2 linked regions of the Danio rerio genome follow. The protein of the gene in region 2 purifies or fractionates together with the protein of the main gene of each other region. This does not show direct contact. Links are inferred from orthologs where the notes say so. Each region holds a gene or a part of one and is shown on either strand. Other genes may lie near its edges.

The links. Proteins that work in one complex are often made in the same cells at the same time.
Region 1: the proteins of cdk14 (region 2) and ccny purify together in Homo sapiens (affinity purification with western blotting; 3 studies listed by BioGRID and IntAct, with this or other methods). This does not show direct contact. The link is inferred for Danio rerio from reciprocal best matches to the Homo sapiens genes CDK14 and CCNY.

What each region holds. Positions count from the first base shown.
Region 1 is NC_133199.1:4,595,879-4,599,537, reverse strand, and holds part of ccny (cyclin-Y), read right to left. Parts: intron 3,487-3,659; coding exon 3,463-3,486; intron 2,256-3,462; coding exon 2,152-2,255; intron 1,485-2,151; coding exon 1,449-1,484; intron 407-1,448; coding exon 349-406; intron 1-348. UniProt on the Homo sapiens protein: Positive regulatory subunit of the cyclin-dependent kinases CDK14/PFTK1 and CDK16.
Region 2 is NC_133191.1:58,424,497-58,428,155, reverse strand, and holds part of cdk14 (cyclin-dependent kinase 14), read left to right. Parts: intron 1-377; coding exon 378-472; intron 473-3,189; coding exon 3,190-3,269; intron 3,270-3,625; coding exon 3,626-3,659. UniProt on the Homo sapiens protein: Serine/threonine-protein kinase involved in the control of the eukaryotic cell cycle, whose activity is controlled by an associated cyclin.

The DNA of each region.
Region 1 (3,659 bases), on a different chromosome or scaffold from region 2:
TGATGCTAAATAAAAAAAGAAAATCTGTAATAATGCTTAAAAATAAAGTCATTAATGATGTTGAATAATAAATTCAGTAATGGTGCTAAAATGCTTCATTAAATACCAGGAATAAATTACATTTCAAAATATATTCAATAAGAAATTTGCTATTTTATATTGTAATAATATTTCACAATTTTACAGTTGTTTTATTACTGTATTTCTGATCAAATAATACATTTATTAATAAGTTTTGATCAAAATAAATAATTTCCAATCCCAAACTTTTGACAGGTGGAGTAATTCAGTAGCTTATATAAGCTGCAGTAATAATAATAATTTTAATGATAATAATAATAAACTTACTGAAAGTGGATGAAGCTTTTCATCAAAAATGTCTAACAGCATTCGCCCGTCCACATTTCTGAAAGAAGAGTGAATGGGTATTAGATTAAGCAAGACAGTCTAAGCTGTATTCTTATAATGCATTAAAGAACCAGGAAAGAAACGTCTGTTGTGATAGACATTCAATGTGGCCCAAACCGTGTCCTGAAAGTTTCTTTAAAACAGCTTTGAAGTTTGAAGGTTATCAAGCATTAAGGGTTTATATGGTGTTAAGGGTTTGAGAAAAAGACACAGAATAAAGTTTTGACTCAGATTGACAGATGAGTGAACGCGAATGGATTAGCACAGACATGATGTTAGATGGATGGAAAGACACACAGATAGATAAATAAACAAAAAATAAATAAAGACAAGAATACAGACATTTAATTAATATACAGAAGAATAAACAGACAGAGAGAAAGATAGACACAGGCAAACAGACAGATATACAATAGTCCGTCTGACAGATAGATTATAGATAGACAGATTATAAAACAGATAGACAGATACATATTATAGATAGAAAGATAGATAGACAGACAGATAGATATATTAGATAGATAAATAGACAGACAGACAGACAGACATAAACAGATATATAGGTAGACCGACAGATGGATTATAGACAGACAGACAGACAGATGAATGAAAGAGACAGACAGCTAGACAGTCAGACAGACAAAGCAGGAATTTACCAATGTAAGATCCTCATTCTGAAACCACACGGACACAACCCAATCAAATAAAGCTCATACAAACAGTTCATTGTACAAATCATACTGATAGACATTTTCCTAAACAGGTCTGTCACTCTGAACTAGCAGACCAGACAATCAATCTCTCCCACAGTGCACCGCAGCACATGTGGACCAGTGAATTAGGATCTCTCTTGGTAAAATGAAACTCCAGTGTGTTTTTGTAAAGAGCGACACACTGCAGGACTTCATCAATCCAATCCTCAAAAACAAAACCATCCTTTCATACTGTTGTGGAATCATTCAAACACACACACACACACACACACACACACACTTCCCTTGGCTCCCACACTGATCTGATGAGAGTCATCTCAGACATACCTGTTCTTTATGTGGTAGTATATTGCGAGGGCGACACTGCAAACACAACAAAATATTAGTCAAACATTGACAATGTATCAATAATATACCTATATTACATTAAGACTAAACTGAACATTTTAATCACCATAAAATGCACATAAAAAAGCAGACTGTACATGTTGATCAAGCAGAAGAACTAACTAACAAATGTAAAAAACATAAATAATAATATAAAAAACATAAATAATAATAATATGAAATCGCAGTGATATGCTGGTATTAGTAATACTACTACTACTAATAATTTAATAATAATATATTTTTTATTTAATGTTGTTAGCATGCTATTAAGAAGGTTTTGCAATATACAGGAATTGTATGTATGCTTATTAAAACATTAAAAGTACAGATATGATTATATGACATTAATTCATACATGCATGTAACCAGAGGGCACTGTTACACAGAGAGAGAACAAGTGAGTACACATGAGGAAAATGTATAACATTAACATAAAAATCTGCCAGATAGCTCACTTCCTCACTGAATCAGCTCAGATGTGTTGCAGTTATTATATATAAACACTGCTTAGGAAAGTTGCAAGCCTTAATTTCTTCTTGTGCAAATCAAAACCTTGTTTCACTGCCTAAAAAAAGCCATTTTAAACTTTGAAAATGAATGAAACGCAGCTCTATTACTGTTATATGGAGGTTTCTAGTACCATTTGATGGTGTATTTGAGGTTGGGTTGGCTGACGGTGCTGTCGTCTAGGAAGATCGTCGAACATGAGCTGTACTTCCGTCTCATTGGACCAGACGGATGTTGCTAAAAGACAAGGACACACACAAAATTACAAACTAAACATCAGTCACTCTCATGCACACACACAGATTCAGCAAACAGACTGCAAATTAGGCCACCTGCAGCCCCAAACAAGCCATTATCATCTCATTTATACCAGAGTGACTAGCTTAATGAGTATGTGAATGTGTGTGTGTGTGTTAGTAAGAATCCCTGCCCAGTACAACAAACAACACACTAAAGTATTATGCAACTTGCTAACAAATTTATAGCAAGATATCAAACGGATAAGCCACATTAAAGGGACAGTTCAACCAAAAATAAAGGCTCTGTCATCAGTTAGGCTACTCATCCTCCACTTGTTGTAAACATGTTTGAATTCCTTTCTTTGTATGCAAAAGAAGATAATTAGGGGAAAATGTTGGAGACTGGTAGCTTTAATTGCATTCAAACTTATGTGCAAAACTGGAATACCGATGCAAATGAAGCAGCGTTTTTATCCAGTAAGTCAAAGAGAACAAAATCATCACTTTCTGGAAAATATGTGCCAAATATCAAAAGGAAAATGTAATTTACAGCAGAGGTAGAAGCCGCTGTGGGCCTTTTTTCTTATATGATAAATTATGTAAGCTTATTATGACCAAACACAAAAGAACACATGGTGGCTTTTAGCAGATGGAGATCCAAAACAAGGTGTCTTAAAAAGTATTAAAAGTTGACAAATCAATTATGAGAAAATTAAGGCCCTTAAAAGGTTTTTAAAAGTCTTAATTGAGTTTTTACGTGGCCTTAAATTTTGTTCAAGCTTTGTTTAAAGTGTTTGACTCCAAAAAAGCATAAATATATTTGTGTTCCTTTTAATATTAACAACAGCATGCTCAGTCCACGTGATGTCATGTAATTTGTCCACGTCCGGTTGATGTCACGTAATTTGCGACAAACAAGGGAAGGTAATGTGACACTTGGTAATTGTTGTGGTCTAAAACCAGGCGTGACTATTAACATCCATATTAGAAAAAGAAAATAATATGATCCAGTGGCCACCAGTTTCCAACATTCTTTAAGAAAATATGATTTTGTGTTAAACAGATTTGGAACAAGTGGAAAAAGAGTACATGATGACATAATTTTCATTACCAAGGTGAACCCTTTAATAAATCAATAAATCAATGTCAAAAGAGACACAACAGTTTAAGGAAAGGAAAGAGTAGAGCAATGAGCAAATATTTACCTTTGACTCCGCAATGTGCGTTAACTTGCAAAGCAATAAAAGACATTAAAATGGGAACAAAACAGCAGCTATTCATTGCACATTTAGTATGAATAGCATGCGCTAATGAAATGAAGAAAACCAAGCCGTGCATTTGAAATCAGTTCTATCAGAAAACAAAAGAACAGCTGTTACTGATGCAAACTAAAAGCCTCATG
Region 2 (3,659 bases):
GATCCTTCAGAGCAGGGGTGCCCAAACTCGGTCCTGGAGGGCCGGTGTCCTGCAAACTTTTTTAGTCCCAACCCCAATCAGACACACCTGGGGTAAGTAATCATTTATGCTTTCTAGAAACATCCGTGCAGGTGTGTTGAGGTAAGTTTGGGTTGAAATCTGCCGGACACTGGCCCTCCAGAACCGAGTTTGGACTTCCCTGCTTTAGAGTGTTTAAAGCTGCACTTAATCTGAAGTACTGTAGAAATTCTACATATTTTCATCATGTATTTTCCACTTCAGAAGAAATAAACACGTCAGGTGGCAATGAAGGAGAGTAAATAAGCAGGAAAGTTAAATTCTGTAAGTGGACTGATCGTTTAATCTTTGTTTTTCAGCCCACAAGCCCAAAGTTTGGCAAAGCGGATTCATACGAGAAGCTGGAGAAACTGGGAGAAGGATCCTACGCCACTGTTTACAAAGGGAAGAGCAAGTGAGTGTGTTTGATTTATACACATGCCTACTGACTTTATCATGGCACAACAGTACAGAAATGTTGATCACTCTTTACAATACGGTTTCATTAATGTTCTTTACAATTTTTTTATGATATAAAATTCATTAGTTCTATCTAATCTATTTATTTGTTTGCTGAAAATATTTTATTATTTTATTTATTTTTTGTTTTGTTTTATTTGTAGTTTTTTATTTTGTATTTTATTTTATTGCTTTTTTGCATTTTATTGCTTTTGTTTTCTTGATTTGTTTTGTTGCATTTTATTGCATATTATTTTATTTTGTTTTGTTTTGCTTTGCTTATCGTTATTTATTTTTATTTTATTTATTCTATTGCTTTTATTGCATTTTATGGCTTTGTTTTTTGTCTTGTTGCATTTTATTGTCTTTTATTTTGTCTTTTGTTTTATTTATTTTTATTTAATTTTTTATTGCTTTTTATTGCATTGCATTTTGTTTCATTTTGTTTCATTTTGTTTTATTGTTTTATTTAATTTTATTGCTTTTTAAATTTATTTATTTATTTTTTATTAATTTTTATTTAATTTAATTTTATTGCTTTTTATTGCATTTTATTTGATTATATTTTACTTTATTCACTCAATTTTGTGCATTTATCAGACATTTTGTTAAGTAATATAAAATGTTAAGATAAAATTATTAACAGAAAGCCCCAGCTTCTCAACTGGAGCATGAAATCATGTGTTCCCTTCATAAATGAAAGCGTGTAAAATCAAATCTGTGTTGGTGTGAAATGAATTGAGCGTCAATGTGTGTGTTTGACAGTAATGATGCTGTGTGTGTGTGTGTGTGTGTGTGTGTGTGTGTGTGTGTGTGTGTGTGTGTGTGTGTGTGTGTTTTTGTGTGTGTGTGTGTGTGTGTGTGAGTTGATTTATTAAAGCTCTTGACCTCTGCGTTTAGATTCACTCCACTGCCTTTAAATTGCATCTCATTGACTTCCAGTCTGCAGTAAATCACACGTGACTCTGTTTATTGTCTTTAACATCTTCCTGCACTCAAATGATCTCTGCATTTTATTACTAAATGCATGAATCCACCTCCGAAAAAACTCATCAGTTCCTTTGATTAAACACCATTTAAAAACAGAGACTTGTAACTTGCACTGGATAAAATCTCATCCCATATCCTAAATGCTCCACTTTATTCCCTTATTCAGTTTTCTGTTTTAATAAAGTATATCTAGATTTGATTATACTGTTTTAATTAAACTTTAATAAAAACAATAATGATGAAATGTCTGATTGTTTTAGTTATTAAAGCTATTTCATAAAACTCATTAACCAGACCCTATGAATTATTTTATTTCTCCAAATTCCATTTTTCTATATTTTGTTTTATTTTGTTAAACTGTATTTGTTCGTCTATTTTGTATCCCTAAAATATTTAATTATATTTTGATTTTTTTTATGATTATATTTTATTATGACTGTACTTTATAGTGATTTTTTATTTTAACATTTACGTTGACTTTTTATTTCAATTTATTTTATTATGACTTTAATTTATTTTCCTTTATTTAATACAATTTTATTTTTATTTTATAACATTTTTTCCTGTAATTTTATTTTATTTATTATATTTTAATTATATGTTCTAGATATACTAGATTAAATCTTTCTGAGGGGTGTGTTAAAGCCAGTTGGAGCTAAACTCAGCAGGACACCGGCCCTTCTGGACTGAGATTGGACACCACTGAACTAAACTATTTATTTGTTTTTCTGTTTTGTATCCCTAAAAATATTTTATATAATTGTGATTTATTGTATTGTATTTTATTTTATTTTGATGTGATTTTTGTATTTTTGTTGTGATTTTATTTTATTGAGACTGTAATTTAGTGTGATTTATTTAATTTAATATTTAATTTTACTTTTGCTTTTATTTTATTCTATTGAATTTTATCATGGCTTTAATATATTTTACTTTATTTAATAATTATTTTTTCTGTTTCTGATTGAATTTTTTGTGATTGATTGTGTTTTATTGTGATTTAATTTTTGTAATCGTGTTTTATTTTAATTTACTGTGTTTATCGTGATTTATTGTATTTTATTGTAATTTTTTATTTTATTTTGTTATTTTATTTTTTGTGATTGTTTTTTTTGATATACTATTTTATTATGATTTGTATTGTAATTTTTTATATTGGTATGATTTTATTTTATAGTCATTACTTTTATTTTTTACTATGATTGAATTTTTTGTGATTGTTTATTTTGATTTACTCTATTTTATTGTGATTTTATTTTTATTTGTTTTATTTTATTGTGACTGTATTTATTTAGATTTATTGTGATTTATTATAATTTATAATAATTTATTGTATTATATTGTTATGATTTTGTGATTTGAATTTGTTGATTTACTGTATTTTATTGTGATTTGTTTTATTTCATTGTGATTTATTTATTTTTTGTGATTTTACTTTATTTTATTTTCACACAATTTTATGCGCTTGATTCACTTTTATCCAGACATTTTCAAGTGACTTACAGAAAATGTCAACGCATGCATTATTATCAGTTCATGTGTTTCCTGGGAATTAAGCCTTTGCAGTCAGTCTGTTCTCTTATCGCCAGGGGTCCAATAGACTTTTACTGTGGTATTTCCTAAGGATCACTGCTGTACCAGAGATCAGTTTAAGCTAAAAAGTGTGTTTCTCTGTGTCTTCAGGGTGAACGGGAAACTGGTTGCTCTGAAAGTGATTCGTCTGCAGGAGGAAGAAGGAACACCATTTACAGCCATCAGAGAAGGTAAAGCTAAATGCAAAATGTTTTGTTTCTGGTTAATAATCAGCATAATTTACAGTTACAACCCTCCTGTAAATTTGTTTCTTTCTCAATTATTTCCCAAATGATGTCGAACAGATTCAGGAATTTTTCACAGTATTTCCTATAATATTTGTTCTTCTGGAGAAAGTCTTATTTGTTTCATTTCGGCTAAAACAAAAGCAGTTTTTAATTGTTTTAAACCCATTATTATTATTCGCCCCCTTAAACAATATCATTCAGGTAGGCTAATAAATCAGACTTTGACTGTACATGTATATCGGCCTCTGAAATTGCTAACGGTGAAAGTGATGCGTGTGTGTGTGTGTGTGTGTGTGCAGCGTCTCTGCTGAAAGGACTGAAGCATGCCAACAT